4 linked regions of the Oryzias latipes genome follow. The protein of the gene in region 4 purifies or fractionates together with the protein of the main gene of each other region. This does not show direct contact. Links are inferred from orthologs where the notes say so. Each region holds a gene or a part of one and is shown on either strand. Other genes may lie near its edges.

Region 1 (4,080 bases), on a different chromosome or scaffold from region 4:
GCAATAAACATCTGAAGCATGTTTTTGGACTGGGAGGAAGCCGGAGTGCCCAGAGAAAACCAATGCAACAGTTTAAATATTAATATAATGGATATTCTTTTGGGTTATTTTTCATTTTGAATGCCCGTTATGTCACAAAGGAGAGGAGATGAGAGCATCTCACCTTGCAAAAGCCTTTTTTGATGGCGCTGAAGTCAGGAAGAACATAGTCTCTCATCAAATCGTTGTCCTCACCTCTCAGTCTGCAAACACAGTAAATGTGAAAGGGTTCTCCTTTTCTTTAAAAAGTCTGGTGAATGTCTCTGAGACACGTTTAACATCACACAGGTGGACCAGCAACAATAGACGTGCATCTGTCTTACTGCGCGATCTCCATGTCTTTGTAAAACTGCTGTGAGACGTAGCAGACGTCCTCCTTCACCTGGTTGATCACATGAGTTTCATCCATCACGTGCAGCTGGCTGGAGAAGTCGTTGCAAAGAATTATTCAGTAACTTATTTGATAAACGTAAAGCTGCAGACACAAACCCACCGATAGGAGATGATTTCTTTTAAGTGATTGGTGAGCAGTTTTCCCCCAACATTGATTCTGAAACACAAAAGTGTTTACAGTTGGTATTCTCACGGTCATAAGGGCCATAAGACAGCACAGTCTTACCTGCGGATGCCATGATTCAGTTTCTTGCTGCGGCAGTAGGGGGCGATGTGTGTGAAGGAGAACCCAGAGTCCACCACCAGGCAGCAGAGCTCAGACGGTTTGGAGTGGAAGCAGTGATGAGCGCTCAGAGAGCCACCTGGAGGAGAACAAAGGCAGTAAATGTCAAATCTCTGTTCTTTCATTAGAGCAAAACGACTCCATATTCTAACCTTGATTTTGTCTGAGCATCGAGTTAACAGCACAATTCATGTGAGACATCATTGCAGCCACTGTGGTCGTTTTTGGACCACAGAATGAAAATGTCTGCTTTTATTTTGAAACCAGGAGGAAATCTTTTTTTGTAAGTCAAAGAGGATGCTTGTTCTTACTTAATGATCTTTTAGTATTTATCTGCGTGATTCTTCAAAACCTGTGTTAAAACTTTGCTCAAACTTTTAAAATGCTCTCTTCTTAACGTTTTTTAAATTCCCTGTCAAAACCTATTTTTCCTACATAAAAATGACTCTTTGAGATAAACATATTCCTATAAACTCTTTTTAAATGCGCTTGTTTGATATTCTGGTCATTTGATGAACTCACCATTGATTCGAAGAGCAGACTGAAACTGGTATTCTTCAAAGAGGATCTCATTCATGGACTCCTGGATGGAGGTGAAGTTGAAGTATGGCTCTGTGATGATGATGCTGGTGTCTGCAAAGTCAACCTACACAAGGAACTCATAGTCAGCAGCTGGAAGAGCCTACTTAACTACATGCATGACTAACATACAAAAACGGACAAGTGCACCTTAAACATCTCCTTTCCAAAAAGGTGATCCCACACCTTCCTCTGAACATCCCAGTTGACCAGGTAACCCTGCACAGACATGAGCACCTAGTAAGAAACTGTTACCCAACCTGCACTGGACCTGCAGAGGCAACCTCACCTTCTGAAAGGGGAGGATGTAAAAGAGACCCGACGGATCTTTGATCTCATCCAGCTGATTCGCCGTGAACGTTTTTAGCCGGGAATTCTTTGAGCGAAACTGACAGTTGGGAATCACGCTGAAGAAAAATAAAGACAGAAACCAAGTTAAATTGGAAAAAACAAAATGTAAAAACGTCACATCCAGTAAGATCTTCAACCCACACAAATGCTAGAGATCTGGCATAAAAACGTGAAAAAAAACCTAAATAAACTTCCCACATCTGAAGAAAAAGGGTAAAAAAGTGTCACTAAATCTTCTACTGGTTCAATCAGAAGAATGGAGAAAACAAAGACTTTTGTAGATGAAATTCAGTAGACAAAAACATAACGGAGACTAAACATCACGACACAAATATTGACAGTTTCCCTTCCTAACAAAGTTAAGTTTGTGTTCACATGCAAAGCTAGATTTTTTTTATTACATAGAATATTTTCACAACATCCTCACAATACTTTTGTTTGCGAACAATAAAAGTATCTTAGGATCTGAAGATTCTGCTACCAGATTAGCACAAACTCAGATCACAAATGCATAAACAAACAAAAACTGTTGCCAATAATAGAAACAGGGGAACCTGTAACCTAATAGTACCTGTAACAGACAAAATATTTGGAGTATTCTAAGTCTAAGGTTTGAGTACCAAAAAGAACTTGGAAAAAAAAACCTTTTGTTTTCCTATGTCCATTTTTGCAAAATTGTTCTTTGATTTACCAAAGTAAAAGTCATAATGTGTTTGCCTGACAAGAAAAGCAATTTTGCCGCATTCGATTCGTTCGAGGGTAAATCTCTGTTGTAACGTTTATAGCTTACTGCTATTACCCCCCTACACTCAGTCCCATGACTTTATGTCACAGTGCAACAAACAAACGTTTTCCAGTGGAATGAGGTTTTAATCTTTCGGGAAATAAAAAAAAACGCAATATTGATTGAAAGCATCATCGTCATCTGTGAAGTTAGCCTTGCTAAAACAAAGTAACCTCACCTGACTTTCTCCAGACTGTAACCGATCTTCGCCGTGTACGCGCCATTATCCAAAACTAAGGTAGCCATTTTAGAAGAAAAACATTTAAATAACTATTTAGTTTTTTAAGTCGTAACTACACAAAAAGCACATTGTAAACTGATCGGGCTAAATCAGCCACCATTCAGAATTGTTCCTTCTAGCCAATCACATTCAGTCTTTCATCTTTCTTCCGGACGATGGAAAGCCAATCACATCTGCGTAATCTTTTTCTTTCAGCCAATCAAAGAACAAGCCAAAGTACCTCCTGAAAAAGTGGCTCGTGCAGAAACACATTCCTGTCACAGTTCCACTTTTTAGATATTTTAACATAAATGAATTTTTCGTTTGTCAAACTAACTAAATACGCTATTAACATGTCCCCGCCTCTCTCTATATAAAGTAATTAAAGAAAAACATGATTAAAAAAAATTAGGACTCTCTTCAAATAGGAAGATTTGACAAACTTAGCAAACAATCTGCCTTTTTTCTCATCTTTTTTTTATTTTTTTATTTTTAATTTTTTTTTATTGAATGCTGGAAGAATACAGTACAAAAATATAACACTATAAAAGTACAATGTAAGAACATAACACAACTCCAAAATAGAAGTTATTATTATTATTTACGTTTTTAGCTTCTGTTGAAAACAAAAACATTTTATAAAATTAGCATCAAAGTATATCAAAAGAAAAAATCCACAAAGAGAAAGGAAAAAAAAACCACAATGGAACTAGATTAGTTTTATTGAATACATTTTATTGCTGGAGTTCCATTTTCAGTAAGAAAAGCAAGAAAAGTTAAGGTACTTCATTAGAAAATTTACCTTTGAGATTTTGAAATTTTTCCAGAAATAGAATCACAGTTAGAAAAAAGAAAGAACCACTATCTTTGTGATTAAATTGTTTAAAACCAAAAATCACGTTTTTATAATAAAGTTAAAAATCAGCAAAAACAGAGTCAGTAATGAATTTGTGGCTCTTTTTCCAGAATGTGTCAGTAAATTCACATGACCAAAATAAATGAGAACATGTTTCAGGATTTTTCTGTCAGAAAGTACAGCTGTTGTTTAAGTCAACTCTAAATTTAGATAATGTTTTGCGGGATAAAATTTGTCCAGTAGTGTAAATTAAATTTCTTTGACCTTGTTTATTGAACAGACTTATTGTGGTAAAGACCGATTTTTATTTTTCAACATAAATAATGTGTAAGATGACTTCCTCCAAAAACAGACACATTGACTGTATCTGAGGCCAAACATTTGGAGAGAGAACAAGCGTATGTACCATTACCCTGCTGCTGGACGTCATTCCATATTCCAAAAGTGGGAATTTGGGGTCTTTACAATTTTCAACAAATTCTACACTTATATCTTCTGATTGATTGGGCACACATGATGTCGGTGTCACTGTTTACTCTAGCATACCTGTCTGAACATATGAATTTTAAAAAGCA
Region 2 (4,221 bases), on a different chromosome or scaffold from region 4:
AGCAAACAGCAGGAGATCTGAACCTTTTTCTGCAAACAGGTGTTAGCATGACGCAGCAGGAAGTGACGTGTCTGTAGTCCATCCTCCTTCATTTGTAGTTCAACAGAATGATGTCATCTCTGCAGAAAAGGCGGAGCCTCTTTCCTCCTCTGCTTTGACCTGTGGCGTCAGCCTACAGGTCCAGGAGAACCGGGTTCTCAACCAGACCCCCCCTCATCACTTCAGGAGGGTCTGTCCATGTGAGGGAGGAGAACAGACTCACCTCCATCCTCATCTTCATCCTCTTCGTCCTCTTCCTCCTCAACATAATCTCCATCATCGTCTTCGTCCTTCAACAGAAACAGGAAGCTGCTGACTGCGCTCAGTCACAAGGAGCCCCCCCCCTCCCCCTCCCCATCTGGATCAGTGGCACACCTGGATGCCGTCCTTCATCAGGTAGGAAAGCCCCACTTCCTCTTCTTCAGAGCCGTGCTCTTCATCATCTTCGTCCTCCTCATCATCATCTCCGGGAGGACCTGCCTCCTCCTCCTCATCTAGAAAAGAACCAGTGTGTTGACAGGAAACGGATCAGGTGAGTTCAGACGGAACCAAACAAGAACTTTAGGTTTGTCTTAGACCTTCATGATTATTCTGAAGAACCAGCAGAGCGGGTTCCTCGACCTTCAGACTGTGACGGATGGCGCCTCACCGTTGTCGGACGCCTCGTTGTCCTCCTGGTCGAACCCGTCCAGGTAGGTGAGCTGTGGCAGCAGCTGGAAGACGCGCTCCCTGTAGTCGTCCAGAGAGGACACGTCGCAGCCGTACAGGTCCAGACTCTTCAGGGCCTTCAGGCTCTGCTGCAGGTCACATGACATCGCCGTGAGCAGCGGACCTCCTGGGAGGACCAGAGGAAGGCGCCACTTACCAGCGGCTCCAGGCTGCTCAGCTCCTTCAGCTTGTTGCTGCTGAGGTTGAGGTGGGTCAGGCCAGGACACTTCTCCACCAGCGTGTTCAGCCCCCCACCGATGGAGTTCTCACTGACCTCCAGCTGAAACACAGCAGTCGGGTCTCAGTTCTGCTGTAAAAGGCGGGAAGGCTGAGCGGTTCAGACCAACCTGAACCTGGAACCATTTGGTTTGCATCATTCTGAGGTCAACGTCCTTCATTCAGTTTAGACGTTTGGGAGGAAGGTCAGACCTCCTGAGGCTGCGGTCATGACCACGTCTCCTCACCTTCTGCAGTTTGGGCAGCAGGGGCATCTTGGACAGCGAGCTGAGGCCCACGTTCACCATGCTGAGGACCTCCAGCTCCGTGAACTCCTCTGACAGACCTTCCACCTCGCCGTCGCTGGAGCGGCAGTTGTCCACCACCAGCTCCCCCACCTGGAAGCAGACGGCAGCTGAGCAGACCTGCAGCCAACACCCCACCTTCGGCGCCGCAGAGCGGCCGCTTCACTCTGAGGACAGGAGGCCTCGTCTACCAGCCGGGCTCTGGTCCAGAACCGGTCCTGGTGGATTTCACAATCCCCTTAGTGTCTGCTCCAGAGAGCTTCAGAGCCTAGACGTATGTGGAAACGCTCCACCAGGCGTGTTTGGAGTTTTAACGCCATGCCATCATGGTAGCCAATCAGATGTGCAGCACTTCCCCAGAGCTCCATCCACAGCGCCACAGCTGATTGGATGAATATTTATTCTTCCTTTTCATCCGCCCGCCGTCCGCAGTCACGTGACACCAGCAGTTTTACCACCATGACGCTTTCATACGTCACCATGATGGAAACCAGACGGCCTCGGCGTTCCCGCGCCCCCTGCAGGCCGTTAGCGAAACTGCAGACGTTTGATGACAGGCAACAGGTCTGGACCAGAACCGAGCTCTGGACCTTTGGAACAACTGCAGTGTTTAGGTCCATAGAGCCCAGATGTTTGTAGGGTTCTGTATGTGAACTCATGTTTACCACAATATAGAATATGTATAGTAAAGTAAGTCCCATAAATGAGTGGTACCTATAGAAGCTAATCTGTGTTGGTGCTCCCCATTCCGAACCTGACCTCCCATTTCGAACCTGACCTCTGCACGGCTTAAGAATGAAGGCAGACGGACCGAGGACCACCGGTACCGTCCATTCCCCGCGTCCTGGTCTCGGACCGTGGCTGAGGTTCAGCTCACGTCTGCCCGATATTCCGCCAGAAGGCTGTTTGAAATGGACCGAACCCACCCGGGTCCCCAACAGCCAGCCGTGCATCGAAAAAATCCAGCTCCGAGACTGGACTGCGCATGCGCATTGAAAGTGGTCCGAACAGACTCACCGAGCTGGAGCTTCAAGCTAAAACGGCGCCGAAGCATTTCAGCAGAACTGCGGTTCGTCAGGATCACCACTGTCATCGGAACCGCGATCATCCTACGGCGGGAAGTCGCCCCGCTGCACACAGTCAACGGAACCCGACCGAAACAGACCCAAACCGGCTCGCGGCTCTTTCTCCACATTAGCTAGCTAGCTGGAGCTGCCTCGAGGCTTCTCCACGGAACACAGGAAACCCGCACGTGGAGCGGGCGGGAAACAGAGCTCCGCTACTAGAGCCGCGCGGGTGTAGCTCGCGCTAAGACGACGGAACACGCGCGCGCGTCTTTACCGCTAACGCAGAAAACAGGAGCGGCTGCGGGATTCTCACGCACCTCGGTGGGACTTCGGTTTCGGAGCTCGAGGCTGATCCTCTTCTTCATCTCCATGATGAAGCAGGAGCACAGAAAGTAGCAAAACAAAAGAGATGGCGCGCACGCGCGGCTCAGTCCTCTGTCGCGAACACGCCTCCTCACGCATTTCAAAGGCTCCGGATCCACGTGGGATCTGATTGGTTCGGTCTGAAGCTCCGCCCCCACAGCGTACGACTGAATACTCTTGACCGCGATTGGTCTGAACGTCAGGACTGACCAATGAGAATGCGAAGATAGACCCTTTTTTAAAATGTTTAGGCTCCTCCCCTTTCTGTAGAAACAGGCTGATCTAAGAAACCAGAGGATCCCAAACACGAGATCAATCTGGGATTTCCTATTCTACAGAGCAGAACGTGAACTCATCAGGAGAACATCAATCACCTTTGAGGGGATTGCTGTCTTAAAACATCATGAATCGGACCGCCACCTGCTCCGGTTCTGGTTGGCTGGATAAACAGATCCAGTTCAGTTTCAGAACAGTCGTTTTATTCTGTTTTCTTAAAAAACAAACATGTACACCTGAAATCACAGCCAGAAATAAATAACAGCAAACTCAGGGTTTGGTTCTGGTCGGACCCGGCTGCTCTGAGCGAAGGCCAATCCAACCAGAGCAATGAGGAGAGACAGAAAACTTCAACACCATCAGTGCAGGTCCAACAGAACCGCAAATGCTCAGACCATCCAGAAAGATGTGAGAGGAGGAGTCATGACTCATGGGGAGGAGTCATAACTCATGGGGAGGAGTCACGAATAATGGGGAGGAGTCATGACTCATGGGGAGGAGTCATGACTCATGGGGAGGAGTCACGAATAATGGGGAGGAGTCATGACTCATGGGGAGGAGTCATAACTCATGGGGAGGAGTCACGACTAATGGGGAGGAGTCATGACTCATGGGGAGGAGTCATGACTCATGGGGAGGAGTCATGACTCATGGGGAGGAGTTAGATAAAAGGTGATCATCAAGAGAGCGTTGAGGGAGTTAAAAAGGAACTGAGCATGCTCAGTGGAGATCTTCTGGTTCCGAAATGACATCAATAAATAAACTGTAACAATTTAACAGTAAATTGTTGTAGTTCAACAGGAAGTGATGTCACTACATCATCTTCAGACTTCCTGTCTGGGTGGAGCTTCGGGACTCTTCATGCAGGTTCTGAGGAGGTGAGAAGGACAAACCGGTCTCATATTTACAGAATGGGGGCTCAGTCTGACCGCTCAGTCCACGATGGAGGCTCTGCGTGACCTGCAGGAAGGTCAGGGAGACCAGGAGAACTTCAGGGAGCTGGCAGAGAGCCCCCGCTTTGGGGTCTTCAGGCGGCTGGCAGGTGAGGAGTGGACTGCCTTCAGAGAACCTCTTTCATCTCTGATATGCAGAACAAAGTTCTGTTCAGCGGAAGCTTCAGGAACCAGAACTGTTCCCAGGTTTGAAGAAGAACGATGCTCCGGATGAGAACCTGGTCTGGAGAACCAGAAGATGGTTCTCAGGATGTAGAGTCCGTCTCTGAGCATCACATCCGGTCCAGGACCCCG
Region 3 (4,091 bases), on a different chromosome or scaffold from region 4:
TCTCAAAGTTTAAACTTTCAAAGAAAAATAAGTCCAGTATTTTGGAATGAAAGAGATCTGCTCGCGATCAAAATTGTAAATTTGGCAAACTGAACAGATTATAGAGCCACGGCACAGAAGATATTGATTGGCAAAGGCCTACAGCCAATCAGGACGCAGGACACAACCTGCTGTTAAAAAAAATTAAAAAACATACTAAATTGCATTGAAAAAAATCCGCAAACCAGTGAGACCACAGCTAAAAACTACCTCAGTTCTTTTCAGCTCCCCAGTGCTTCTGCTGCTTTCATCGTTATCAAGATCCTCCTCTTCGTCCTCTTCCTCGTCGTCCTCATCCTCAGGTTCTTCCTCCTCCTCTTCCTCCTCCTCCTCTTCCTCCTCTGCTGGTGATCTACCCCCATAGCCATAAAGGCTCAGCAGCTCATGTATGGGCATCTCACCTTCCTATTAAAAATAAAGCTGAGTTTAGTTCACTTCCTATTATTACTGATTCACAGTAAGACATTGAATGGTGATGAAAGTTGCCCTCTGACACAATGTGAATCTATTAAATCCTCAGTTTATAGAAAAAAACAAGTTTGTTGTTTGTCTATCTTTCTTTAGGAGAGATTGAACTTTTTCAATTTTAAAATTAGCCTAAAGGTTGTGACCAGGAGGAAAAACGTTATTGGTGTGATAAAGACGTCCAGTTTCAAGGTTAAATCAATATTCAAATGCTGTCAGAGGCCCTGTGGCGCGATTTGGGCATCGGGCGCGGCACGTCGGTCCGGCAGCAGCGCCATTTGAGTGTTGCGTCCAGAGTTCAAATCTCTGAACTTTGACAAAGTGGGGTCTTCCATGCATCGTAAATGAGATGCACACAGACACCGCTCCCTGTAGCAATCAGGCCAAAAACATTTGGTGGTAGCTCCTCCCACAAGCCACGCTTCCAAACATAGGCGGCCGACGCAAATCGTGTTTGGAGTTAACGCAGCATTACAATGATGGGAAATGAAAATGTGTTCGTTTATGTAAAAATATATCAGATCCATGAATAATATATCATTCCCATTATTAGTTACAAGTTAAAAGTAACTATTTCAATTAAAAATATCACACTAGATTAAAGACAAATTTTAAAAATCAGGTTAAAAACACACAAACAAACAGGGTTTTCATAACTATAATAAATACCACCAGAAATATAACATTACATTTAGCAAAAGGTCTTACAATTTAAAATAAAACAAACCCGTGCAAGGTCTTCAATCTCATTAACATTGGTGTCGTCTGTCGCCTCCAGCCTTTCTTCCTCCTCCAGTGTGCGTTCATCATCAAAGTCATGCACCAGCATCTCAGCGGTGGGGTCAAAATCATGGTCATCAGAACCTGCTGAACCTCCTTGGAAAGTGCAAGTAAAAAAAGGAAACAAAGGAGCATTTTTGAACCAAAAAGTCATTTATCAATATATAATACCAATTTTAGAAATTTGACATAACAAAATATTGTGTAACCCTAAATATTAACAAAACAGCCCAGAATGTATGTATGCCTTAGAGACCATTAAAATAAGAACAAAGATGGGGAAACCAGCTTTTACTTTTTATTTTTTTAAACAAATTCCTCTACAAATTATGTGTAAGCATTTAGTACCATGTGTACCTGGGCTCGAGTTCCCCAGCGAAGGCTAGAGAGAAAAAAAGGAAGAAAAGTTAGTCAAATAAAAAAGTTCAATACAGATGAAACCATTACAGAACACATCCAGGCATCATAACACAAAGATGTACTGAATGAGACAATACAAGACAGAAATACACACAACATGAATAAAAAAATACATGACAACAAAACAAGAGCCAAACATGTAACAAGTGGGAATAAAAAACAAAAAATTAGGAGGATTATTTGCTTTAGGTAAAATTTTCTTCAACATTTATGTTGACGTTTTAGGATTGTGTTTGTACATTACCGAAATAAATCTCTCTCTCTCTCTCTCTCAAAATCTTAAAAACCAAAAAATCTCAAATGTAAGTATTAAAGGTTAAAAAAAAAACAGGCATAAAATGAATAATTCATGGGATGTGAAACTGAAACCGTTCGCTGCTGAACAGCTTTACATAATCAGGTTCGTGTGGCGGGGTTTTGTTTAATATAAGTGGCATAAGAAAATATAAATGTACAATTAAATTCCTACAACACCTCAGAAACAACAAAAAAGAAAAAAACGATAAATTTCACGTCTTTTTCCGACAAAATATGATAAATAAGTAAATATAAATTTATAATAAATTCCAAAATTTAAAAATGCATCATCTTTAACTATAAGGAATATTCTAGAAATAAGCGCTGACAAACTTTATTCATACTAATTGAAATTACAATTTTTGCAAGCTAAATAATCTTTACTCGTTTTTTTGCTAAAGCATTCCTAATTTAAGCTCGCTATTTATAGATTTCAGGTGAAAAAGAAAAGAAAACGCGTAAATTACAGTTATTTAAAAAAACTTTTAGAATTATGTTTATGAAAAAACGAAATCCTTTGTTGATAATTTATTTTTAAACAAAAACCGCGGAACATAGTCGCTAACGCCGCAGCTAACGTTAGCTAAGCTCAAAGTTTACCAAACATGTCTGGATCCAAAAAATGGCGCCCGTCCAGCGAGACAAAACGCTGACGTTCCGTGTCGTGTTCAAAAGCTACAGCAGGGGAGTGTGAGTAAATCTGGCTGAACCAGCCGCCCACAAGAAGAAAATAATTTTAGTGAAAATGTATAAGACTTTCTTACCTCCGCCATGTTTGTAATCCTGCAGGGTCACGTCAGGGGTCAGCTTCAGCACCCGGATGTGAAGCTCCGCCTACCTGCGGTATCAACAGTCATAAAGCAATGCGGCTCAAATGAAGCGGATTACTTCCTATTCCTATTTTTATTCAATTACAAAAGCACATCATATTATTTGGAGTAGTTTCTGGTGATGATCTATTTGATTTGACATTCAATACTTTATTAATATCTGGGAAATTTTTCATTCATAAGAGCAGATTTTCAAAAACCAAACCCATTACTCAATAAATTTCAAAAAGAGATCAGTTTATATTTTAAATCTCTGAACATAATAAATAACAAAAAACGCAATACAATTATCTTTCATTGAAGATCACATGTTGTATGACAATCCCTAGTATTGTAAACTACAATTTTAATGTTATATTTTTATTTTATATTGTTTTTATTAAAATAATTTTATGTGTAATTTATTCTTTTTTATTTCTTTCATCTGTATCTATGTGTATATGTTTGTTTGAAGTTCAATAAAAATTATATGAAAAAAGTTTTACCGGATTACTTCCTGAAATAAATAAATGAAGAAAAATTAAAACCCCAATAAATCAATCAATACATATAAAATGATGATAATAATAAACAATAATGACAAAATGTGATTTTGAGTTTTATATTTAAATATATAAAATCAAAAGTTTAGACTCAAGCACAGCAATAGAAACATGGCCAACACTAGAGTTTTACATTAGTTAATACCAGAATGTTTAAGTTGTTGTGAAATTGTTTTAATGGCTATTGGTTTCCTTTATTATGCATTTGATACAAAGTCAAGTTGGTAACCTTATGAATCAAACTTGATTCAGTCTTTTGTATTTTGTGTGTGTAAACACACAGGTCATTCCAGAATTGGAGGACGTTTTACATCCCTGCCATCAAATTTTAAATGCACCCCAATCAAAATCCCCAAATCTTGCATTTGCACGTACATTTAATTTTCCTGAAACCAAATCTACAAAAACTAAGGGGGAAAAAATGCTTGAAAGTAGTTTTTTAAAATACCAAAACATATTTTTGCTGTCTCTTGCAACTGTGAAAAACATTTGTCTTAATAAACAAAATATCATTTTCAATAATTTAATTCCAAATGAAACATGTCTCTCACAACATGCACACATTCCTGTTACTATAACTTCTGTTTTTATCATGATAGAAAAAGAATCCAACAGAAAATGACATGATATTCTGGACTTGGCATTGCTTTTCCAAAAGAGTGGCTGAAGCTAAGGAATCTCCTCTCTCTTGTTTGTGATATTTTTACATCATGGTTAG
Region 4 (3,950 bases):
AAATTAAGGGTTCAAACCCCGCAGATGTACGTCTGACCAGCACCCGCCCTGCAGGCAGTGGACAGCTGCTGTTGGCTGGGGGGCACTGTGGTCTGAAGGATAGTACCCGGTGTGAATGTGGGGGTCCATCACAAACTCCGGATGCTCAAACACTGGCTGAGGTCCCAAGGTCTCAGCGACCTTCATACTGACCCGCCTGAATGACTGACAGCAGCAGAGATGACGGTTTTAGCGAGATAATTCCAGAGGAATGACGCTGCTTCTTTTTTAAAACCAAGATGTTTATTCAAAAGTGAACAGGCAGCTTTACAACTGACACATGAAGCTAGGACAGATGGGTGGAGTGGAACCCCTGACTGCCCTCTGGTGGCCACAGGTCAACATGACATCCACAACACTGCTGAGCAGTTTTGCACGTTTGTTCATTTTGTATTTTTGGAGACTGTCTGTGTTTTTATCAGGCCCGTTTCTAGCTTTTGTGGGGGCCCAGGCAAAATGCTGTTTGGGGGTCTCCATGTTGTAAAACTGTAATGAGGAGATTTGTAACCCCTTTGGTCAACTAAGATGGCACAATATATTACACTTCACAATGTTAAATTGAAAGACTTCAGCAAAACTGTGTGACATAATAATAATTAAAATAAATAATAATAATAATAGGGGCTGCACGGTGGCGCAGTGGTTAGCGCTCTTGCCTCACAGCAAGAAGGCCTCCAGTTCAAGTCCCAGCTGGGTGACATGAAAAACACAACATCAATGGGGGACCTTTCTGTGTGGAGTTTGCATTTTCTCCCCGTGCATGCGTGGGTTTTCTCCAGGATCTCCAGTTTCCTCCCACCGTCCAAAACATGCTTCAAAGGTTGATTGGCAACTCTAAATTTTCCATAGGTGTGAGAGTGAATGGGTGTGTGATTGAGGATATTCTACCCTGGGACAGACTGGCGACCTGTCCAGGGCATCCCTTGCCTTAGCCCAAGTGGCTGGGATAGGCTCCAGCAACCCCATGACCCCAAAAGGGAATAAACAGTGAAGAAGATGAATTAATAATAATAATAATTATACAAAGTAATAATAATACCAACACAACAACAACAATGATGACAATAATCAGGAACAGCTTATTATTGCAGGTTTTCAAAATATATTTTATTTTATTTATAGCCAACTTTTTATCTGTTACAGTATAAGGAGTTTAATAAACAAAAGAAAACATCTACAGGTAAAAATAGAGGTGTTATTCTCCTCAGAAGAATAACACAGGGGAAGAATCAGTGGAGATTGTTCTGTGTCATTGTGAACTGTATGGGGAAGAAAGACGACAGCTGGAGAATAGAGTTCATAGAGGTGAACGGCTGAGTTTTAAAGAAGCTTTTGGGAGGGGAGGAGAATTTAAGTGGTGCATTATAGGTTTTTATGAGCAGAACCAGATTATTGAGGAGAATATAGTTTGTTTTTTGGTTAGATATTCCCCAACTACGATCCATCCTCCAATACAGCAGGTGGCGGTACTGCCCTTGTCGTTGGTGCCTCCCGCCATTTAAACTACAAGAAGAAGAAGAAAAAGCAGCAGAAGAAGAAGCCCCGCTGGCTAACGGCTGTTTTCTAAGGCCATCACCGGACGCAGCTATACCGATTTCAGCGCGTACTTTTGAATCCAAGTGATACTTTGGCATCATGGTAAGTAATTCCCGACCGTTTAACGACCGACATAACCGGACCGAAACCCCTCTGTCCGGTAGTCCGCGCGGGCCCGAGCATCAACGTCTGTGGCGCCTAAATGTGGTACAAGCTAGCGTTAGCTTAGCATGCTAACCACCAAGTTTTTCCCGCGGAGTCGTAAAATAAACGATCTGGATCACCGAGCGCCGTTACCGGCCGTGGATCGACTCTGTGGTTGTGTGTTCTCCAGGCTGGCGGTAAGGCTGGGAAGGACTCCGGGAAGACGAAGACCAAGGCGATTTCGCGCTCGCAGAGAGCGGGACTCCAGGTCAGTTAGCGCCGCTCATTCATTCCCGCTGGCCCCGCCGCGGCCGGCCGTACTGGCGCGGGTCGGGGCGCTCCGCCTGTCGGTGAACGCTTGTATCCCTCCTCGCTGTAGTTCCCGGTGGGTCGCATCCACAGACATCTCAAGTCTCGAACCACGAGCCACGGCAGAGTGGGGGCCACCGCCGCCGTGTACAGCGCGGCCATCCTGGAGTACCTGACCGCAGAGGTAAGACCGGCTGCAGCATGTGGCGAAAAGTCATCTAAAAGAGAGTTTTCCAAATGTATAAGGATCATCCAGATGGGTCAAAATAAGAAAGATACGGCGTTTGAAGTGAAGGGCGGAATTTGATTCCTGAAATATAAGGGAAAAGGCAAAAGTTTTGTGACCCGAATCACAGATGAGAGTTCTTAGTGTGATAACTTTATCCTTAAAATCCAAGAAAGAGGCATCATTGCTAAGATATTCAAACGAACTACAGGAAACGACAATGAAACTGTTATTTAATCAAAAGTACGACATTCTAAAAGTACTTCACTAAGCTACATCTGATCCTTTGTTGGTGGACAGTGGCTGCAGCCAATCAGCGTACTCCAAACCGGTCACATGACCTCATGTCCCAGCATGCACTGCTTGCAAACGAAAAAACAGTACCTACTAACTTCTTTTATTAAAACAGCAAAAATCGACTAGTTTCAAAATTAGACACCAACTAACTTACTGTAGAAAGTTGAAGAGGGATTTTGAGAACCAAGATATTCATCCGGAGAATTCCCTACGTTATACTGCAAGGATCGAAAAGATGTGAGAAGCAGATCAAAGACGAGTTTATCGACTTTTATACTTTATGTTACCTACCGATCTAACTGTTTATTCAACGAGAGTGGACGCTGCAGCCGAGCGCACAGGTCTGATCACTGGTTTGGAGGAAACGTACCTGCGCCTCCTGCCGGCCGGCTCCCCTCTGCTCCTTCTGAGGTTTTGGCTTTCCACAGGTCCTGGAGCTGGCAGGAAATGCATCAAAGGACCTGAAGGTGAAGAGAATCACTCCACGCCACTTGCAGCTCGCCATCAGAGGAGACGAGGAGCTGGATTCTCTCATTAAGGCCACCATTGCCGGCGGAGGTGAGTGGGGGCTTCACCTGGACGTCCCGGGCTGACTAAGCCCCGCCCCGGTCTGAACAGGTGTCCTGTCTTTCAGGTGTGATCCCGCACATCCACAAGTCCCTGATCGGGAAGAAGGGCCAGCAGAAGACGGTATAACCCAAGTGCTCTGAACATTGTGCCATCTCAGGAGGACGTCAGCATCCAGTGTTCAATGTCGTAGATTAGAAAACTTTTCACGATTTTTATGGTTGAATTTGTGTCTACTCACCCGGGGTATTTTTTTTTTAAAGTGGCTTCAGAGAAGCTCTTTGTCCCTTTGGCCTTTCCTGGTGTTGCAAGCGTCTGTGTTCCACTCGCTAACGTGGCGTTTCCATGTTCAGTGGTGTTTTAATGAAGCAGCTTTCAGTTTTCTAACCTGGCTGCAGGACGAGGGGTCAGGAGGTCGACCATCGGCGGCTGAGGCGTGCATGTGGGAAAGACCCCAAACATTTGAAGATGCGTGTGAACTGATGCATGAGTGGCAGCACACGTTTATGCTGGAGTTCCCGCTGCACAGGCGTGGTCAAGGCTCCCTGCTGCGTCCTTTTCTGTATTAAATTTTATGTGGAGACGGTCTCTTTGTTTTAATTCCTGACGATGCTTCTTCATGCTTCTTTTCCCACGTTTTCTATAAAGCAGTTTTTGGCTTTGATTTCTGTGGTTTTTCAGTCATTGCAGGTCTGGTGTGATGGATGCTATCGCTCTGAAATGACCTTTAACCTCTAGCAGAAAAACATTTCCTATTAAACTGAAGTTGAGCTGTTTCAAAGACGAGTCTTTTGCAGAGTACTGTGAAGTCTATCAGCTGGTTTAATCTAAA

What was found. Proteins that work in one complex are often made in the same cells at the same time.
Region 1: the proteins of histone H2A.Z (region 4) and actr6 purify together in Homo sapiens (affinity purification with mass spectrometry; 4 studies listed by BioGRID and IntAct, with this or other methods). This does not show direct contact. The link is inferred for Oryzias latipes from reciprocal best matches to the Homo sapiens genes H2AZ1 and ACTR6.
Region 2: the proteins of histone H2A.Z (region 4) and acidic leucine-rich nuclear phosphoprotein 32 family member E purify together in Homo sapiens (affinity purification with mass spectrometry; 4 studies listed by BioGRID and IntAct, with this or other methods). This does not show direct contact. The link is inferred for Oryzias latipes from reciprocal best matches to the Homo sapiens genes H2AZ1 and ANP32E.
Region 3: the proteins of histone H2A.Z (region 4) and mier1 purify together in Homo sapiens (affinity purification with mass spectrometry; 3 studies listed by BioGRID and IntAct, with this or other methods). This does not show direct contact. The link is inferred for Oryzias latipes from reciprocal best matches to the Homo sapiens genes H2AZ1 and MIER1.

Annotation. Positions count from the first base shown.
Region 1 is NC_019864.2:26,969,198-26,973,277, reverse strand, and holds the start of actr6 (actin-related protein 6), read right to left. Parts: upstream 2,805-4,080; 5' UTR 2,676-2,804; coding exon 2,608-2,675; intron 1,702-2,607; coding exon 1,584-1,701; intron 1,514-1,583; coding exon 1,445-1,513; intron 1,362-1,444; coding exon 1,238-1,361; intron 795-1,237; coding exon 659-794; intron 590-658; coding exon 533-589; intron 462-532; coding exon 363-461; intron 243-362; coding exon 164-242; intron 1-163. UniProt on the Homo sapiens protein: Required for formation and/or maintenance of proper nucleolar structure and function. Plays a dual role in the regulation of ribosomal DNA (rDNA) transcription.
Region 2 is NC_019874.2:32,438,064-32,442,284, reverse strand, and holds the start of acidic leucine-rich nuclear phosphoprotein 32 family member E, read right to left. Parts: upstream 2,805-4,221; 5' UTR 2,707-2,804; coding exon 2,653-2,706; intron 1,362-2,652; coding exon 1,212-1,361; intron 1,028-1,211; coding exon 905-1,027; intron 837-904; coding exon 689-836; intron 534-688; coding exon 415-533; intron 330-414; coding exon 263-329; intron 1-262. UniProt on the Homo sapiens protein: Histone chaperone that specifically mediates the genome-wide removal of histone H2A.Z/H2AZ1 from the nucleosome: removes H2A.Z/H2AZ1 from its normal sites of deposition, especially from enhancer and insulator regions.
Region 3 is NC_019875.2:16,593,191-16,597,281, reverse strand, and holds the start of mier1 (mesoderm induction early response protein 1), read right to left. Parts: upstream 2,805-4,091; 5' UTR 2,775-2,804; coding exon 2,766-2,774; intron 2,730-2,765; exon of another isoform or gene 2,602-2,729; intron 1,667-2,601; coding exon 1,633-1,666; intron 1,381-1,632; coding exon 1,232-1,380; intron 445-1,231; coding exon 250-444; intron 1-249. UniProt on the Homo sapiens protein: Transcriptional repressor regulating the expression of a number of genes including SP1 target genes. Probably functions through recruitment of HDAC1 a histone deacetylase involved in chromatin silencing.
Region 4 is NC_019876.2:29,622,110-29,626,059, reverse strand, and holds histone H2A.Z, read left to right. Parts: upstream 1-1,150; 5' UTR 1,151-1,674; coding exon 1,675-1,677; intron 1,678-1,909; coding exon 1,910-1,987; intron 1,988-2,098; coding exon 2,099-2,212; intron 2,213-2,979; coding exon 2,980-3,109; intron 3,110-3,185; coding exon 3,186-3,247; 3' UTR 3,248-3,782; downstream 3,783-3,950. UniProt on the Homo sapiens protein: Variant histone H2A which replaces conventional H2A in a subset of nucleosomes. Nucleosomes wrap and compact DNA into chromatin, limiting DNA accessibility to the cellular machineries which require DNA as a template.